Callithrix jacchus: one gene and its partner. The protein of the gene in region 2 purifies or fractionates together with the protein of the main gene of each other region. This does not show direct contact. Links are inferred from orthologs where the notes say so. Each region holds a gene or a part of one and is shown on either strand. Other genes may lie near its edges. The genes, in order: SRPK2 and CPSF6.

What was found.
Region 1: the proteins of CPSF6 (region 2) and SRPK2 purify together in Homo sapiens (affinity purification with mass spectrometry; 3 studies listed by BioGRID and IntAct, with this or other methods). This does not show direct contact. The link is inferred for Callithrix jacchus from reciprocal best matches to the Homo sapiens genes CPSF6 and SRPK2.

Annotation. Positions count from the first base shown.
Region 1 is NC_133512.1:75,523,095-75,532,828, reverse strand, and holds part of SRPK2 (SRSF protein kinase 2), read left to right. Parts: intron 1-3,129; coding exon 3,130-3,295; intron 3,296-4,452; coding exon 4,453-4,478; intron 4,479-6,446; coding exon 6,447-6,693; intron 6,694-7,252; coding exon 7,253-7,735; intron 7,736-9,734. UniProt on the Homo sapiens protein: Serine/arginine-rich protein-specific kinase which specifically phosphorylates its substrates at serine residues located in regions rich in arginine/serine dipeptides, known as RS domains and is involved in the phosphorylation of SR splicing factors and the regulation of splicing.
Region 2 is NC_133510.1:71,755,158-71,764,891, reverse strand, and holds part of CPSF6 (cleavage and polyadenylation specificity factor subunit 6), read right to left. Parts: intron 9,651-9,734; coding exon 9,540-9,650; intron 9,095-9,539; coding exon 8,590-9,094; intron 8,258-8,589; coding exon 8,142-8,257; intron 7,656-8,141; coding exon 7,502-7,655; intron 5,339-7,501; coding exon 5,149-5,338; 3' UTR 5,146-5,148; intron 1-5,145. UniProt on the Homo sapiens protein: Component of the cleavage factor Im (CFIm) complex that functions as an activator of the pre-mRNA 3'-end cleavage and polyadenylation processing required for the maturation of pre-mRNA into functional mRNAs.

The DNA of each region.
Region 1 (9,734 bases), on a different chromosome or scaffold from region 2:
TGTTCCTGGCCCATCTGGGCTTAGGTTGATATCAGCTTTCCTGGCAGCCAAAGGATCTCTGCTGCCTCCTGCTGCTGGCACCAAGTATTAAGATTGTTTTTTGTTTGTTTTTTTGCTTGTTTTGAGACAGAGTCTTGCCTGTTGCCAGGCTGGAGTGCAGTGGTGCAATCTCAGCTCACTTCAGCCTCTCCTGGGTTCAAGCAATTCTCGTGCTTCAGACTTCCAAGTAGCTGGGATTACAGGCATGTGTCACCACACCCAGCTAATTTTTGGATTTTTAGTAGATGGGTTTCACCATGTTGGCCAGGATGGTCTGGATTTCCTGACCTCGTGATCTGCCCACCTTGGCCTCCCCAAGTGCTGGGATTACAAGGCAAGGCTGAGCCTAGCCTTGACATTTTAAATGTAATTTAAACATCCTAATTGAAGTATTATCCAAAACAGTAAATATTCTAGGGCAAAAAAATCAAAAGTCTTAAAAAATAGCTTATCCTAGTTTTATCTATTTTACTAGTACTTACTAGGAACTTGTCAGTATCTCATTAAATCATATTTGCCATGCCCATGATTCATCTTGGTTTCTTTTTGGCCATTTCCCCCACCCCTCATACCCATTTCCTGTCCTGAATTGGTAAGCTCTGTGAGGATGTGAGGACTGTAAGCAACATGAAGCTTGGGAGCTTTTAAATATCAAAGACATGGAATAGTGGCATGTGATAGGAGCTCAGCTGATGCACATTCATTGAATTTATGTAAAAATACTCTGTTTGGTAAAGTGTTTTAAATGTTTGTAGGGATTTTGATCCTGTTTAAAAGACAGATATTCCTATCTTCATTTTCCTTTTAAAATGTTTGTTCCCTCTCACTTCGTAATGCTACTTTAAACTTGTACTAACAGTAGGCTACCTACTAATAGCCTACCGTTAATCAGATGCCTTCCTGGTAACATAAAGAGTTGATTAAACTGGGAATAGTTCAGTGTTGGATGATGTGAAGCATACCACACTTTCTGTCTCTTGTGAACAAAATGAGTATTTGATTCATTGTTTGAATGGTGGTTGATATAATATTTGCTTAACATTTGGAATTTCTAATGCTTATATGAGAACATGATATGTATTGTAAAAATAAATTTCATTTGTGGAAAAATTAGAACATTCTTCTCCAGTGGAAATAATTACAGTAAAACATGGACTGTGTATTTAGGTCACTGACACTCTTAATGTGACAAATATGAATATCTTGGTTCATCATTGTCTTTTAGTATAATGCTATAGTGTTGTCTAGATACCAAAGCCTTTTCTTTCTATTTAAATTAAGCCCCCCTTTTTTTGCAATTTTAAAAATGTATGGACATCATTAGCCTTGGGGGAAATAAAGATCAAAACTACAAGATACTCCATATCCACTTGGGTAGCTAAAGTAAAAAAGATATGGTGTTGTGTTTTTTTTTTAAGATGTGGTTTCACCATGTTGGTCAGGCTGGTTTTGATCTCCCTCCCTCAGGTGATCTGCCCGCCTTGGCCTCCAAAGTGCTTGGATTACAGGCGTGAGCCACCACACCCAGCCGATGGTGTTGTTTAGGATGATGAATTGGAACCCTCATACATTGCTGATAGGAATGTGAAATGGTGTAGCTACTGTGGAAAACACTTCGGCAGGTGATCAAAAAGCTAAATATAGAGGTGCCATATGACCTAAGTATGGTAACTCCTAGGTGTATATGCCTCCCCCCAAAAAAAGTATGTTTGCTGGGCACAGTGGCTCACGCCTGTAATCTCAGCACTTTGGGAGGCCGAGGAAGGCGGATCATGAGGTCAAGAGATCGAGACCATCCTGGCCATGGTGATACCCGTCTCTACTAAAAATACAAAAATTAGCTGGGCGTGGTGGCACATACCTGTAGTCCCAGCTACTCGCGAGGCTGAGGCAGGAGAATTGCTTGAACCTGGGAGACGGAGGTTGCAGTGAGCAGAGATCGCACCACTGCACTCCAGCCTGGCGATGGAGATTGTGTCTCCAAAAAAAAAGTATGTTCACACAAAAATGTATATACATGAGTGTGCATTGCATTATTAGTTTTATAGCCCCTAAAGTGAAAATAACGTGAATGTTTATGAAGTAAATGGATAAACAAATGTTATGTCTCCATACAGTGGAATATGATTTGGCAGTAAAACCAGGCGAAGTACTGATGCATGCTGCACAAGAGTCAGGCTTGAAAACATTATGCCAGTTACAAAAAAACACTTTATATGATTCCATTTATAGGAAATGTCTAGAATCACCAAGTAGATTAGTGGTTGCTAAGGGTTAGAGGAGGTACGAGAGAGATGGGGAGTGAATGCTAATGAATATGTTGTTTCTTTTAGGAGCAATGAAAATGATGTCATTTAAATAGTGGTGATAGTTGCACATTTGAAATCTGTTAAATTGTATACCTAAAGGGGTTATATGACACATGAGTATAGTTGTTACTGAACAAAAATACACAGCTGAGGCTTGAATAGCACAAGGGTTAGAGGCACTGACCAGCCCCTTCCAATGAAGTTGAAAATCCATGTCTGACTTTTGACTTGACCAAAGCTTAACTACTAATATTCTGCTGTTGATCAGAAGCCTTTCCTGATGACATTAACAGTTGTTTAACATGTATTTTGTATGTGTGTTATATAGCATATTGTTACAATAGAGTAAGCTAGAGAAAAGAAAAGAAAGTATGTTTACCATTTATTCATTAAGTGGAAGTCGATCATCATAAAGGTCTTCATCCTCATCATCCTCATGTTGAGTAGGCTGAGGGGTTGGTCTTGCTGTCTCAGGAGTGCAGAGGTGGAAGAACATCTGTGTATAAGTGGACCCATGCAGTTCAAACCTTCAAGGTTCAACTGTATATAGATGCATTTGCTTCCACAAGCATAATCTCTGAAATGATATACACTGGTTTCTTATGGGAAGGAGAGCTGGATTCCAATGAGGTTAGGAATGGGAGGGAGATTTTTACTAAATATCCTTTTGTGTTTATCAAACTTGGTAGCCTGTCATTGTATTTTATGCTTTTCAAATAAATAAAACTTATATAAAGAGGTATTAATAGCTTATCTTCTCTCTTAATTTTACTATGTCCAGGTCCTTCAAGGATTAGATTATCTGCACAGTAAGTGCAAAATCATTCATACTGACATAAAGCCAGAAAACATCTTGATGTGTGTGGATGATGCATATGTGAGAAGAATGGCAGCTGAGGCCACTGAGTGGCAGAAAGCAGGTGCTCCTCCTCCTTCAGGGTCTGCAGGTGAGGGACTGAGCCAGCTTCATTTCAGTCTGTCTGAGGTATTGTAAGCTTGCAATGTTGTATGTTGAAGGTTTCTCAATCAAATGTTACATGTAAGGACATTTTTGGCAAAGTTTAATTTCTGGAAATAACTACACCCTTTTCTTGAGATGGAAAATGCCCCAGGTACATTATATTTTAATATTTGAATTACTTGCCATTTAAATTTGTAGTTGCTGCTTCATTAATATTGGAACAGTTTTTTCTGTTGCCCACTTCTCTGCAGAGGAGAACATAATAACAGCTTTCCTGGAGCTGACTTTTAGTCATCAGAATATTTTTCTAGCTTCAGTTATGTTACAGTAATTCCTATTGTCCATTTGTCATAGCTACGTCAATCTGAGTTTTATCAGTGGATTTGGAGTTAGTTAGAAAAGGCCTGATGGTGGGGGAAGAAGACCAAGTGACCTGAGTATTGGCATATCTTTATTTCTGGTGGGGGTGCAGTGAAATGTGGACTGTGCTTTTGTGGATCTTCAACATTGTCTGTGCCCTTGTGTTGTCAGGCAAGCATAGATAGTAAAGGGCTGAGACTCTGGAGACTGCCTGGGGCTCTCTTCACATCTCCTCTACTGCAGGTGTTGTTTAGATCATGGACCCAGACTGTCAAACTTATGGCCCTGATAGGGTTTAATCATGTGATTTCTAGAATATTAGCTGCATACCAACTGCAGTATTTGATTTAAATTGTAGAAAGCTTGCAAAATAGATTTCAAATATAAATGTACATCTAATCTAAATTGTTTATTTCATTTTATTTATAACAAATTTGGTTTAATGACTGTGATATGTATGAATTATTTTCCATTTTCTTAAGCTATCTGTTGGTGCTTTGGGATTGACTGTTTTTGAGATGTATTAGTATTTCATTTTAGATAAATAAAAGAAATGGCTCAGTATGAACAACTTTTCTGCTATGCATTTTAAGAGTCCGTTGTTTGTTTCAGTTGCATAAACTTTCTCTAGATCCCAGTGATTACGAAGCTCTGATTAATATGTTTGTGAAGTTGGATAGTCATTAAAAGATAATAATTATGTCATTTTGCAATCCAAATGACCTGCATGAAGGTATGTGTCTGTTTTCTGCTAAATACCAATTTTGTTTCATTTTATTTTAGTGAGTACGGCTCCACAGCAGAAACCTGTAAGTACTTAACGCATATTACTTTTATGCACCATGGCAAAAGAAACTGTTTGAGCAGTTCAAATTATTAAAAAGTGGTAGTATATATTAATTTAAAGGGTAGACACATTTATAAATGCTGTGTATCCTCAAATATTTAAGACTTACTGTCTTGTTAAGTGTTTTTTGGATTTTGTGTGTGTATGTGACTGAGTCTTGCATTACTGCTCAGGCTGGCATGCAGTGTTGCGATCTTGGCTCACTGCAGCCTCCCCCTCCCAGGTTCAAACGATTCTCCTGCCTCAGCCTTCCGAGTAGCTGGGATTACAGGCACCCACCACCATGCTCAGCTAATTTTTGTACTTTTAGTAGAGATGGAGTTTCACCATGTTGGTCAGGCTGGTCTCGAATTCCTGACCTCAAGTGATCTTCCCATCTTGGCTTCTCAAAGTTCTGAGATTACATGCATGAGCCATCACACCTGGCCTGTCTCGTTAAGTTTTAGGGATCTCTGCAGAATTGGAATGGTTAGAGCCTTTCAATGATTGTCTTCTTTATGCATTTTCTGGACTACGGTTGGCCAAGTCTAATGAAATGTGAGGTGGTGGAGTTGAAGCACTTTTATTTCAAAACCACTTTATATTATTTCTGATTGGCTGCTAAGTTACCTTTTCCGAAGCTGTTGTTCTAATTTTTTTCCAGCCAGATGTTAAATAAGAAAGAGATAGTTTGTAGTCCTGTCAAAACACTATGTCAGTACTAGGTACCAGGTGTGGTGGCTGACACCTGTAATTCCAACATTTTGGGAGGCTGAGGCCAGCAGATCTCTTGAGGTCAGGACTTCGAGACCACCCTGGCTAACATGGTGAAACCCTGTCTCTACCAAAAAATGCAAAAACTAGCCGAGTGTGCTGGCGGATGCCTGTAATCTCAGCTACTCAGGAGGGTGAGGCAGGAGAATCTGTTGAGCCCAGGAGGGGGAGGTTGCAATGAGCTGAGATTAGGCCATTGGACTCCATCCTGGGTGACTGAGTGAGACTCTGTCTCAAAAAAAAAAATCAGCCGGGCATGATGGCATGTACCTGTACTCCCAGCTACATGGGAGGCTGAGGCATGAGAAACACTTGAACCCAGGAAATGGAGGTAGCAGTGAGCCAAAGTCACGCCAGTGCACTCCAGCCTATGCAACCGAACAAGACCCCATCTCAAAGAAAAAGAAAACAACAACAAAAAACAAAATAACAAGAAAACACTATGTTTACTGAGACAACCCTTGATTTGGAACGTAAGTTCTGGAACAAGAGGGAGCTGTAATAATTAGGCTTCCTGGCTTGCTGAGGAGCCCAAGTTGTTTCCCATAGTTCTTCCCTGGCTCAAGCCACCTGAGTTTACTGTATGAAGGATTGGAGGCTCTCCTTGCCAGTGCTTTGCAAGTCAGCTGGCCATGATGGGAGGCAAACAAAAGCTGTGGCTTTTTCTTCTTTCACATTGCTGCTTAGGCTTATCTCTTACAGTTCATGTTGTCTTGGCTGGTAAGAGCTTCCAAGACATATGTGAGACCCAAACACAGTGACATACACCTGCTTGGGCACCTGTTTCATTTTTGGTAGTGAGGAGATGGGATGTTGTTATTTTGTATATAGAGGGCAGCAAATAAAACTTCCAAGAGGAGCTTCTCTAAGGCCAAGAGAATTTTGGACTTCAGTTCTCTGAGAGTTTGAATGGTGAAGGCTTACTGGATTTAAGCTGTATCCCTCTGAGGGCAGGACCTGGTAGTAGACCTAGCATGTGATATCAGTCAGCACTGCTTTCCCTTTGATTTTACCATAAGCCTTACCATGAGGTGGATGTCTGGGTTTGGGATTTTAGTAGAATATGGCATGAGAAAGCGGAGTTTTTTGTTAGTTGCCATGCTGCCAGCAGTTATACTATCATGTGTGCTTTAAAAAGAAGAAAACTGACCTGTGGTCTTTTCTTAACATGTTATAGATAGGAAAAATATCTAAAAACAAAAAGAAAAAACTGAAAAAGAAACAGAAGAGGCAGGCTGAGTTATTGGAAAAACGCCTGCAGGAGATAGAAGAATTGGAGCGAGAAGCTGAAAGGAAAATAATAGAAGAAAACATCACTTCAGCTGCACCTTCCAATGAGCAGGATAGTGAATATGGCCCAGAGGTGAAACTAAAAACAACAGGATTAGAGGAGGCAGCCGAGGCAGAGACCACAAAGGACAACGGTTAGTGGGGCCAAGAGCCTGGGCTGCATGGGGTCCTCAGGTTACAATGGGGGCTGATTTGTGCTGCTGCTTCAGATGGCAAGGATGATTCTCTCCAAGTCTCTATTGGGAAATTCGGGAAACATCCTTATAATTCATTTGTGAACTGTATGCCAGAAATACAACATTTCAAAATAGTTTTTAAAAATGTAGAATGTCTGAGAAACACCATGTTTCTATCATGCTAAAGATGGTGCTTTATTTTGTCATTAACTTTTTACCTAACTGTAGTACACCACAAATCTATTTCTGAAGATTGTAGAGGGTGGAAATGGAAGTGCAGCTTTATTTAGAAAGAGTTTTTTTCTCCCAAAGCTAACTTTTTCTTATAAGAGCAGGCCAATTATTAATGAACCAAAAATGAGATTTTGAAAACTTGAAGGTTTTACTCCAAAAGCTGAGAGGTGTTTACTATGAGGTGCATAAGTTAAGCACATTCAAAATGTATTTTATTGATGAGATGTGAGGTTGTATTAAGGAGAGTAACAAGTTCTAATTCTTGACCCATCAACTTCTTAAGGTGAAGCCGAGGACCAGGAAGAGAAAGAAGACACTGAGAAAGAAAACATTGAAAAAGATGATGATGATGTAGATCAGGAACTTGCAAACATAGACCCTACGTGGATAGAATCACCTAAAACCAATGGCCATATTGAGAATGGCCCGTTCTTATTGGAGCAGCAACTGGACGATGAAGAGGATGATGAAGAAGATTGCCCAAATCCTGAGGAATATAATCTTGATGAGCCAAATGCAGAAAGTGATTACACATATAGCAGCTCCTATGAACAATTCAATGGTGAATTGCCAAATGGACGGCATAAAATTCCCGAGTCACAGTTTCCAGAGTTTTCCACCTCATTGTTCTCTGGATCCTTAGAACCTGTGGCCTGCGGTTCTGTGCTTTCTGAGGGATCACCACTTACTGAGCAAGAGGAAAGCAGTCCTTCCCATGACAGAAGCAGGACGGTTTCAGCCTCCAGTACTGGGGATTTGCCAAAAGGTAAGTGTTCTTCTCATCAGCTGTCTGCCATCACTGACTCCCGGGGTGTGCCTTTAACAAATGCTATGAAGGAATTGGCTGAAAGTGACCAACCCCTATATGCTTGCACTAATCATTTTTATTACTTTTATACTCAGGAACAAGTAATGTGATTTAAATGTACATTCTGTGCCACTAGGCTATCTCTCGCTCTCTGATACCAAATCTTATTTCTGACCAGTTGTCATTTTTAATATATTCAGTCAGCAGCATCATTTGCAGAAACCTTCCAGTTTTAGCAACTTACACCTGTAGCTTTCTAGAATGTGTAGTATAATTTGTATCTTGCATCTGTTATGATTGTATTTCGTTTTTGTTTTGTTTTTCTATTCAAGAAAAGTATGCCTGCTCTTTGGCTCTGTTGGGAAAGAAGTGTCATATTGTCTTTTCATAGTTGTTCCTGATTATAGGACCCTGTTATTGATAACCCACCCAGGATTGTGAATTTCAAGGAATTGGCATGGATTTAAATGTGATGACAGATGATAGATTGGCTCTTGTGTTCTTGTCTACCTAAGAAGCCTTGACTTATTTAGACCCTTATTTTGGGAGTGAATGCCAAGTGACTCTGGTGTGTGAAAACTGGGTAACTCAGTTGGTTTCCATTCTGGCTCAAGGTGGGAAAGCTCTGAAACCTCCTGGGCTCCCTCTACTGTCAAGACTGTTTAACACACAGTGAGTAATTGATGAGCCACCCCTGCCAACAGTCCAAGACATTCTGCAGCCCCTTGGTTCCAGCAGGCTGGAATTGCACGATAAGGAGTGAGCTGGCTTTGTTAAGAACTGGCTATGATGAATCCTCCTAAGGATGTGTTTTCTTCACTTGGCTGGACGTGGTCAGCTCCTATTCCCCTTTATAGGGAGTGTTTGAAGGTGCTTACATAGAGTGTAGGTTAATTTCTGAGAAAGGGCAGTAGTGAGATGTACCTTATCCAGATTTATTGTTGCTGTTGCAGTTAAATTTTTCTCTTAGTGAAAGTTTTTATTTTTTTGAGATAGAGTCTTGGTCTGTCGCCCAGGCTGGAGTGCAGTGGTGGGATCTCGGCTCACTGCAACCTCTGTCTCCACGGTTCAAGCGATTTTCCTGTCTCATCCTCCTGAGTAGCTGGGACTAAAGGCATGTGCCACCACATCTGGCCAATTTTTGCATTTTTAGTGGAGACAGGGTTTCACCATGTTGGCCAGGCAGGTCTCGAACTCCTGACCTCACGATCTGCCTATCTCAACCTCCCAAAATGCTAGGATTACAGCTGTGAGCCACAAGTTTCATATAGAAAGTAATTTACAAACTTCCTTTCCTCCCTCCCTCCCTTCCTTCTCCTTCTTTCCTTCCTTTGTTTTCTTTCATCCTGTCCTGTCCTTTTCCTTACCCTTTCCTCTTCCTCTTCCTCTTCCCCTTCCTTCCTTCCTTTTTCCTTTTCCCTTTCCTTTTCCTTTTCTTCTTTTCTTTCTCTCTGTGCCCCTCCTTCCCTCCTTCCTTCCTTTCCTTTCTTCCCTCCCTCCCTCCCTCTCTCCTTCTTTCTCCTTTCATTTTCCTTTTCCCCTCCCCTCCCTTTTTTCTTTCCTTTTTCTTTCTCTCTCTCCCTTCCCTCCCTCCCCTATCCTCTCCCCTCACCTCCCTGTCTCCTTCCTTCCTTCCCTCCCTCCTTTCCTTCTTCCTTCCTTTTCTCCCTCCCTTCCCCACCCCCAACCCCCCACCCCCCACTCTGATGCCCAAGCTGGAGTACAGTGATGCAATCTCGGCTCACTGCAACCTCCACCTCCTGGACTTAAGCAATTCTTCTGCCTCAGTTTCCTGAGTAGCTGGGATTACAGGCGCCTGCCACCATGACCAACTAATTTTTGTATTTTTAGTAGAGACAGGACTTCACCATGTTGCCCAGGCTGGTCTCGAATGCCTGACCTTAGGTGATCCATGTGCCTCAGCCTCCCAAAGTTAATGGTATTACAGGCATGAGCC
Region 2 (9,734 bases):
AATTTTTTGCATTTTGAAACCCTGTAGAGACAGGGTTTCACCATATTGGCCAGAGTCGTCTTGAACTTCTGACCTCAGGTGATCTGCCCATCTTGGCCTCCCAAAGTGCTGGGATTACAGGCATGAGCCACCGTGCCCCGTTATACTGTTTTTAGATAGAGAATCCTGTTGCAACACAGATATTTTTCCAGGACTAATGAACTCATCTTTTGTCTAATTATACTTTATAGATGAATCTTTACTACTAGTAAGTCTAATTTTTATCATACATACATAAAATATGGGGGATAGTCTAGCAGTTTTTATTTCTATTTCTAAACACTTTACATTTATGCACTTGAAAATACAGATTTTACAGTTTTAAACGGAAGTGAATTTGAAGGCAATACAACCCATTTCCAATAATCCAATTCCACATTATACTCTCTCAAATGTCTAAGCAGACAACTACACCAACAAAGATATCAAAAAGAAGCTTCAAAGTGACAAATACATTCAATGACCATGTTTTCAATGTATCATTTGGTAAAATCAGTAATGTCAAAGCCACACAATTACTTGCTTTAGCTATCAATTATAAAAGACCTATGTAAACAGTTAATAAAATAACTAAGAAGATAAATGGAATGTACAGTTTTTAAAATAGTCTGTAAACTAAAGTGAGCACTAAGTAAAATCTCAAAACACAGAGAAGTACCTGAATTTTAAGATAATATATCAAGCCATTATTAACTCAAATTATAATTGTTTCTGTTAGAAACTTATCTACACACATTTGTTAGAATTAGTATTTTTAATTCATGTGTAAATGCATCCTTTAAGATTCAAATATATACTTGATAGGGCACTTTTATAGGTTTTCACATTAATATATTGAATTAAAAGGATTCTCATATAATTTTAGAGATGCACTATTAACTCAATGAAATAAAATTCACTTTTCTCTATCTGGTAATTCCTTCCTTAATGAGAGGAATGGAAATGAGGTGGGCAAGAGAAACAATTATCTACATACAAGATAGCTCTAAAATCAAAATTCCTTCTTGCATTGACTAGAACATATTACATAAAAACAATTCTAGTTGTTGTAGATATTTACAAGAAGTTCCTTGCTACCAAAATATTTCATATTTTCATCTTTCTACCTCTGAACATAGTACTTACCTCATTTTAACTAAAGCATTTTATTACTCTATCAACACATAAATAATTGTTGCTCTTACAACCCACTAAAATAGAAATAAACATAATCACAGTCAAAGAAAAAAAAGATTTACAAAATGAACATCTCAAAATAACCTGTTATTTATAATTCATGAAAAGTTAAAACATGCTACCACAAAAGAAAAATTCATAAATTTGGATAGCATAAATGGCACCCTTACCCCTTTCTGGTTATTAGGTTTCTCTAAACAGCGTTAACTAAATATTCATCCAAGACAGAATTTATTCAAAACAATCTATTTTACAAACTAAAACAATGGTAGTAAATTGAACACTGAGATGAAGGTGAGAGAGCAAGGTGACTCACACTGGCATTGAGGTTTTTTTTTTTAAACAGGGAACATTAATCATTTGAAAACAAAACTATATTCTTAAACCACAGTGAGCAAAACACACTATACATCCATTCAAGGGATCACGTCCTACTTCCTCTTGTAACATGAATTAAGTCAGCTGTGCAGTGAGACAGATTTTGTAAATACTCAAAGCAAGGAAAATCAGAGCTAAAGCAATGAAAGCTAGCATATCCAGATGAAGCAGAGCAGTTAGAATACAGGGCTGAGAGGTATAAGGCAGACCTCACATAACCTAAGAGTTGTAGAAACAATTTTAAAATCTTATTACAACCAGTATAATTCACCAGGTAATTAAGATAATTTAATTCTCACATAAGACTCAAAGCAACAATAACAAGAAAATGAAACATCTTTAACATGTAAGAAAGAATTTTCCTTTACTCTTTTGGCTTTTTTTTTTCTCAAATTAACACAGTAAGTTAAATACACAATGCAAAGCGTCCTAAATCTCGTGAAATAACAAAATCTAACATCTTATGGTCAAGATATTTAAGGTAGGAAAAAGGTTGTAAGACAGCAAAGGCAAGTTATTGAATCCAGACCCCATACCAAATGCTTAAAAATTGTGTCAAAGTCATGGATAATGATTTGAGAATTGTAAAACCTCATAAAATAGGGAGAGGAAAAGCCTAAATAAAGAGTATTTTAAAAAAATAATTTGGTTTCAGTAAACAAAGAAAAGGTAAATTGTTAAAACCAATTTGCTGAGTAGGGATATTCCAAAGAAGTAACAAGAGGAATGCAACCTTTTAAGCAGCTCAACTATGAAACTAGAATTATTTCAGTAAGAAACGTACTATCTTAAAGCACTGAACTACTTTTATTTTGCTCAGAGTGGTCTGAGAATAGAGGCAGAAATTACAGAATATGAAGCACAATGTATTTACATACTGAAAATTTACAATACTGGTATTTTCTCATTGAAATATTATGTATTTGAACTTAGATACTGAATACTTTTAGAAAAACCAATACATTTTAAAATGAGAGAATGCAATTAACGTTACCAACAGTTCAAACACAAAAAAAATTAAGATGGGACAGACATTAACAGCTTGCCAAGATCATTAAGTTTCCAGTTTAATTAAGGACTTGCCCTTTTATCCATTCATCATCACTTTAATAGATTACATTAGTATTTTATTTGTATACAGCCTTACTACTGACATTCACTTTAGCTTTCAACTCACTCATTCCATTTAGTCCATTTAAGATTTACATGAAAGCTCAAAAGGACTCATATTTTAAAACTTCTAAAAAGGTCAACAGACTTTATTATGTTGGTGATCAAATTTGCAGATAGCTTTTGTTTTAAAAAGAGTTTTACTTGAATATATTTAATCCCATTCCCCACCCCTTTACTCTTGTCTACATCCACAATAAATACTGTTTGATACAGCAAACGTACAATAATCCAGGATAACAAAATTTTTTGCACTAGAAATGCTTATGTAAAATTTTGCTTGGATGAAGGCACATACAGTATTACAACTCAATTCTGATTAATGTACAAACAAAACATGGAAATTCTGGTATGGTACATCAGTGATTAAGAAAAATGTCAACAATAGTTTGCACATTAGGAATCTGCAGTTAATGTCTGAATGTAATGAAACTCAAGCCATGATGTTACTTAGGTGTACCCATTACTAGAATGTAATGTTAGGTAACTCAAATACTTTAACAATAGACTTTTCAGAACATTTACTTGTTGACTATGCTAGTTTCACTAAAACCAGTAAGAAAACTGTAATTAGTTAACTTTGGGTTTAAATCGGCTTAGAGAACCCCTGATGGACACATCCAATTTCGGAGATGAATTCAAGTTTCATTATCATGCCTTTACTAACTAGAAGCTTGTTGATAACTTACAAAGTCTAAAAAAATAGGTAACTTATAGAATCTGTATCTTTCTATAATGGAAATGGCTGACATAGATAAGCATTTCAACTAATAGCCCAGTCACAATCCACCTTAAGCAACTGATGGATATTGAAATTTTTTTCATTAAAATGGGATCAGATATATTTAACTCAAGGGAAGAGATTGCTACATCTTTAAATTTTAATGTTTAGATTTACATAATACAATAGTCAATTTTTACATCCAAAAACAATATCAATTTTAATAATCTTAATTTTAAAAGTATAATTTTTTTGCCTCATTAAAAGAATGTTTTGAGATTTGTATTTTGCAATACATGGAAAACTATATAAAAATTAAAGTTTTGATATTCGATCTGCATATTCAAAATGCAAAGAAAAGTATCAAAACCAGCCTTTTAACTTAAAAAGTCCTTAAAATTGTAAACTTAAGAGCTTATTTGTGCTCCACAAAAACAGCATGCTTATTTTCTAGGCATTTAAGGGTCTCATTTGCTAAAATGTTATCTGTTATGGTTAAAGAAATTGCTATTCTGTCATGGAATTACATACACTTGATAAAGCCTTTAATTTTGCCCATAACATTTTAAATACTGACAATTACCATGACTGAATTTTCAGTAAGTTTCCCATGATTACTGAAAATAATCACATAAAGAGTAATCTACATGTGAGGGGTTTGTTTTAGCCTTATTTAATTTGAATATGCCAACCAATATATAAAGAAAAAATATTTTAATTTACAGAATAACCTTTGTGTCACATGCATAAGCCTTATAGTGCCCTCCCCCAGCTCTTCACATGAATAAATGCTGTTAACAAATATAAAAAATAAAATTACATGTGAAAATGAAGCATAAACAGACAACTCTTCCCACTTATGAAAAATGTACACAAGAAATAGTTTTAAAATACAGAAAAAAAGACAATGATTATGATTTATGAATGAAACATCAAAGAAAATTATTTCAAGTTATTCTAAACTTGGGTATATGGCTTAACACAATTTAAATTTTTTAGATATGGTACACCCTGAACCCATTTTAACTGAATAACTTTTATATCTTCTTTGCAAATTAAAGGATACTGTTTCTTTTAAAAACAAAAACCAGATGTCAGGAAAACAATGTCTCTTCTAAAAAAAAATTTTTTTTTTTTTTTTTTTAAGGAAAAAGGCTCTTTGAATGTTGAGAAAACACCCTCCTATATTACAAACTATGATTGTGTTAGATTTTCTCATAAATTTTTAGGGACAAATAAAACTAGTTCAAGAATAGCCACATTCCATTTATTTTTAAAAATCCAAACATATATATGAAATAACTCCCTGTATTTTATATTTTAAATTACACACAAACTAAGTATGTGATTACAAGAATCCCAATTTTTAGATTTTAGAAGTACGCAATGAGTCCTCTTGATTATTTCCTTGCTTTGTTAAGACCATTAATTATTTGAAACCTAAAAGTGATTAACTCAGCAATAAAATACTTAAAGATAAAGGGTCAAAATTTTTACCTGTCATTACTTACCTGTTATTTGTTTCAGATGTTTCAAGATTAAATTCACAAGTAGTTGGACCATTTAAAATGTAGGTATATACTGTATAAATAGTAGCCTTGGAGTTATAGTTACTGTTAAGAATACACACGCTAAATATAACAGGAACAAGGAATACCCACCTTCTAACGATGACGATACTCGCGCTCTCGGTCACGCTCTCGGTCACGGTCTCGGTCCCGATCCCTGTGCCTCTCTCGTTCTCTGCTTCTCTCTCTATAATAATCATCATGACGGTCTCTACTACGGGATTTATGGCGCCGACTCTTTTCTCGTGATCTACTATGGTCCCTCTCTCTTGATCGTTCACGTCTTCTAAAAGAAATTACTGGATTAATGCTCTCCATAATTAGTTTAAAAATAGTCAATTTTTTGGTGTCTAAAAAAATCTAACGTGGCAAAAGATTCTTTGTAAATCTGGTTTAAATTTACTATCTGGAACTGCCAATAATGACTTACCAACTCACCAGTAAGCACGAATCAGAAATTTCATTATTAAAAAACACTACCAAAAAAAAAACAGTAAGCAGACACATCACAGAAATGCATCACATCATCAATTTAAACTAGCAGCATAAATAGACATGGAGTATTTACTGAATAAACAAACAGAAAAGGGAAAAGTTCAAAGCACTTGTGTTTTAAGCTAAAGAACATCTACAGTATGTTTTCAGATATAAAATTCATAAAATCACAACACACAATGGGACTTAAATACATGAAAATGACAGCCTATTAACATGTTATTTAACATATGTTAAAATACTAATCTTACATTTCTACCTAACCAAAATATAGTTCATGAGAAGCAGCACCCAACACTAAGAAACTTTCTAATACACACATTATGTTCAGGGGAGAAGAGGCATGGGAGAAGGCTAACGATTATGACTAGTAGCATGAATCGATATAGTATTCACACTGTATTTAATAAAAAGAAACATTTCATGAACTGCCATTTTTTAAAAACAAATAATTAAACCAAAGTTTACTGCCTTAAAGACCTCTACAAATTCTGCTAAATTTATAGTAAGGAAATAATAACTATCTATTAAACAAGAATATTTATGCCTTGTATTTCTGCACCAGACAGCTAAGCTTAACAAACATTAAGTGCTAAGCTCCTTGATCAAGGCGTAAGTTGTTACTTCTTTTTCAAGAGAGGGTCTCTGTCATCCAGACTGGAGTGCAGGGACATGATTACAGTTCATTGCATCCTCGACCTCTGGGGCTTAAGCAATCTGCCTACCACAGCCTCCCAAGTAGGCAGGACTATAGGCATGCAGCACCAGGCCCAGCTAATTAAAAAAATTTTTTATAGAGATGAAGTCTCCCCATGTTGCCAAGGCTAGTCTCAAAATCCTGGGGCTCTAGTAAACTTCTTGCTTTGGCCTCCGAAAGTGATGGAATTCAAAAGTTATTACGTTGGACCTTAAAGCCTAAAAAGATGATACCAAATACCTGTATCTATGACAAATCTGTTCAGATACCAAGATTCTTACACTGGGTCAAAAAGGTAATAATCACAAAATTAGGGACCATGTGAAAGGCAAGCTCCTTTCTCTTAAAGAAGACTACCACTAGGTAGAGTACACTAAAAACACATCTAAGAATACCAAGTGAAGATTAAAGGACTGCCTTTCAAAAATATATAAAATTTCAAAGTTAGCAGCAATGCTAAAAACAAAACCAACACTACCTAAAAGATAGATCATTCATTCATTCAGTCCCTCATTCAAGAAATTTTTATTTGGCACTCATTCTGTACCAGACACTCTGTCGGCAACAGAAATAATATAGTGAGAATGGCTGAGCACAGTAGCTTATGTCTATAATCCCAGCACTTTGGGAGGCCAAGCTGGTAACTTAGCAAGACCTCATCTCTTAAAAGAAAAGAAATACGGTGAGCAGCATAAAGCCCCTGTCATCACTCAACATGTGTTCTAATGAGAAATATGCCTTTATAACACCTAAGAATTGGTTATGGTAAGTACTATGGAAGAAATAAAAAGAACAATAAGACAGACTAACTTGGGAGAAGCCCCCTTAAGAAGTTAGATTGAGATGAGAAGAATAAGGAGCCAGCTATGTGAAGAGACAGGGAAAACTGCTCCTAGCAGAAGGAATATAAAGTAAGGTGGTCAAATGTTTGATCTATCTAGAGAAAAAGGAGAAATATGGCTGGAGAACAGTGAGTAAGGGAAAAGGTACAAAATGAGGCTAAAAAGATAGGCAGGGGCTTTATTACACAGTGCCTCGATCTTTACAATCTTGCTTTAAGACTGAGTAGAAGCCTTTGAAGGGTTTTAAGCAAGCAACTAACATTTAGAGTTTACAAACAACAACAAAAGAAACTCCAGCTGCTAAATAATCAGTAAGTAAAAGCAAAGTCCTCTTTCTAATATCTCAAACACAGTATTTTTTCCACTTGTAAACTAATAGTTTTCTTTAAATAGAAATGAGACAGGAAAGTTTTACCTTGATCCAGAACCGTAAGACTTGGACTCAATTCCATGAAGGCAATCTTGCAAAGAACTAATAAGAACTTTGCAACGATCATCTGCAGATACTTTGGATTGCTTAATTAAAGAAATTGCAGTTACCAATGTCTCAATAGCACTTCCATAATCACCTGTGGGGGAAAGAAAAAGAGTTTGAAATTAAACAAATTTTGTTTTCAAAATACCATCAAACCACTTGGGGTAAGAGTGGTAACGCATTTTACAAAAGTAGTGTGCTATAAAATAACTATACAAGATAAATGTCTTCTTTTAGTATTTCACCATTTACAAAAGCCTTTCATTCTCATATTAACTTATTACAGGTGTGTGAAGCATGTTATCATTTTGCAAATATAAGAATAGGTGTCCTAGTCCCCTGAACCATCTAATGTCAAGGGTAAGACTTAAATCTATACCAAATAACTTAAATTTGGATTTTCCCCACTACACTGTGACACAGCTTTTTTTCAATGCTTTTTAAATAAATGACAGTTAATGATTTGGGAATACAAAAAGAACTACTACATGTAAATGACCTATCTTCTAGACTGCACTTACATTTTTAGGTCATTTCTAATAACATAAACAAGAAACATTAATACAAGAAATATACAAACCAGCACTGGCATCAGACACAGCTCTCGAAATAGCACTACTTGAGATTGCCCTGTTTCTATTCATGATTTCTTCAAACTCAGCTTCACTCAATGGCGTTCTCGCAGTATCCATTTCCCTGTAAAGTAAAAACATAAACCTTAACTCAAACTCTAAGTCAGTCACAACAGTGTAAAGCAATTCACACTAGCTGCTTCTGACATGTGCCTTAGAGAGAGTGGTTACTTTTCCAGATTGAAGCATGCTACATTTCCTATAAAGAGAACATGTCTAAACACAATTCTCCTATACAAGTATCTTTCAGCTATAAGAGTAGCAGCTTAGATCCCTCAACTTCTTGGAAGGCAGAAATAACATTTTTATACATCTATAATCTAATATTTATTTTCACAGTTATTATTCCTATCTTTATCTTTTATCAAGTACTTTTACAGACACACACTAACTTACCTTCCAGGGGGGCCATAGTCACCCCTATCATATGGTGGAGGTCGGCCATATGGGTCTGTTGGTGGTGGACCTCGGCTATCTGATGTAGGCATGCCACTGTTAGTTGGTGGAGGAAAGAAAGCTGGGTTCACATGCGGAGCTGGCGGTGGGGCACCTGGAGGTGGTCCAGGAAGATGCGGAGGAGGAGCTAGTGTAAGGGGTGGCCCAAGCGGACCAGGTGGACGAGGTGGAAAGGGGCCTGGAGGTGGAGGTGGTCCCTGTTGTGGAGGTGGTGGGCCAGGAGGGGGGCCGTAGCCTGGAACTGGAGGTGGAGGGCCAGGAGGAAGCGGACCCAATGGAGGCTGCCCAAAAGGCTGTCCAGGAAAAAGAACTGGTGGTGGAGGGCGATCTCCTCGATTAGGAGGCCCAGCTAGAGGAGGAGGCAGAACCTGACCAGGAGGTGGAGGACCTGGTGGACCAGGTGGGCCTGGAGGACCTAAGGGTGGACGTGGTGGAGTCTGTCCAGCTAAAGAACAAAGGGGAGAGAGAGAGAAAAAAACACTTCACTAATAAGATATTTTAACTTTCATATGCCAAGATTATACTTTAAAAGCATAATGCATATACCAAGGCTTTGTCTTTAAATAAAACTCATATATGACAAATGTTACGTTATCAACTACAATGATGAAGTATATCCTTTCATATTTAACTAGCTCAATTTATGTTTACGAAAATTTATTCAAACAAAAATTTTAAAAAAGATTACAGCACCTAGAGATATTTTCCATCTTTTAGCGTACACACACTTCTTACAGTGAAATCACCCACCTTATATTCTACTCTGATGCAAAGCTAGAAAGTGAAACAAGGAAAAATGATCTTGAAAGGATTTTTTTAAGAGGTAAGAAAATAAGACGGATGTAAATATTCTATATATAAGTCAAGCAAGTTTGGAGAAAAATAAAGACCTTTTAGGCCAAAAATGGGTATTTCCTCTATGCTGTGCCCCATATGCCATGGAATCCTAGTTTCCAGGAACAAAGGCCGAGTTCCTTTAACAAGATGCTTGATCAAATTTCCTGGATTCCAAAAATAGCATAACAAGGAGAGTAAGTCACATTAATAATGCATTACTTGAAAAAGAGAGAAAAGGAAAAGAGGTA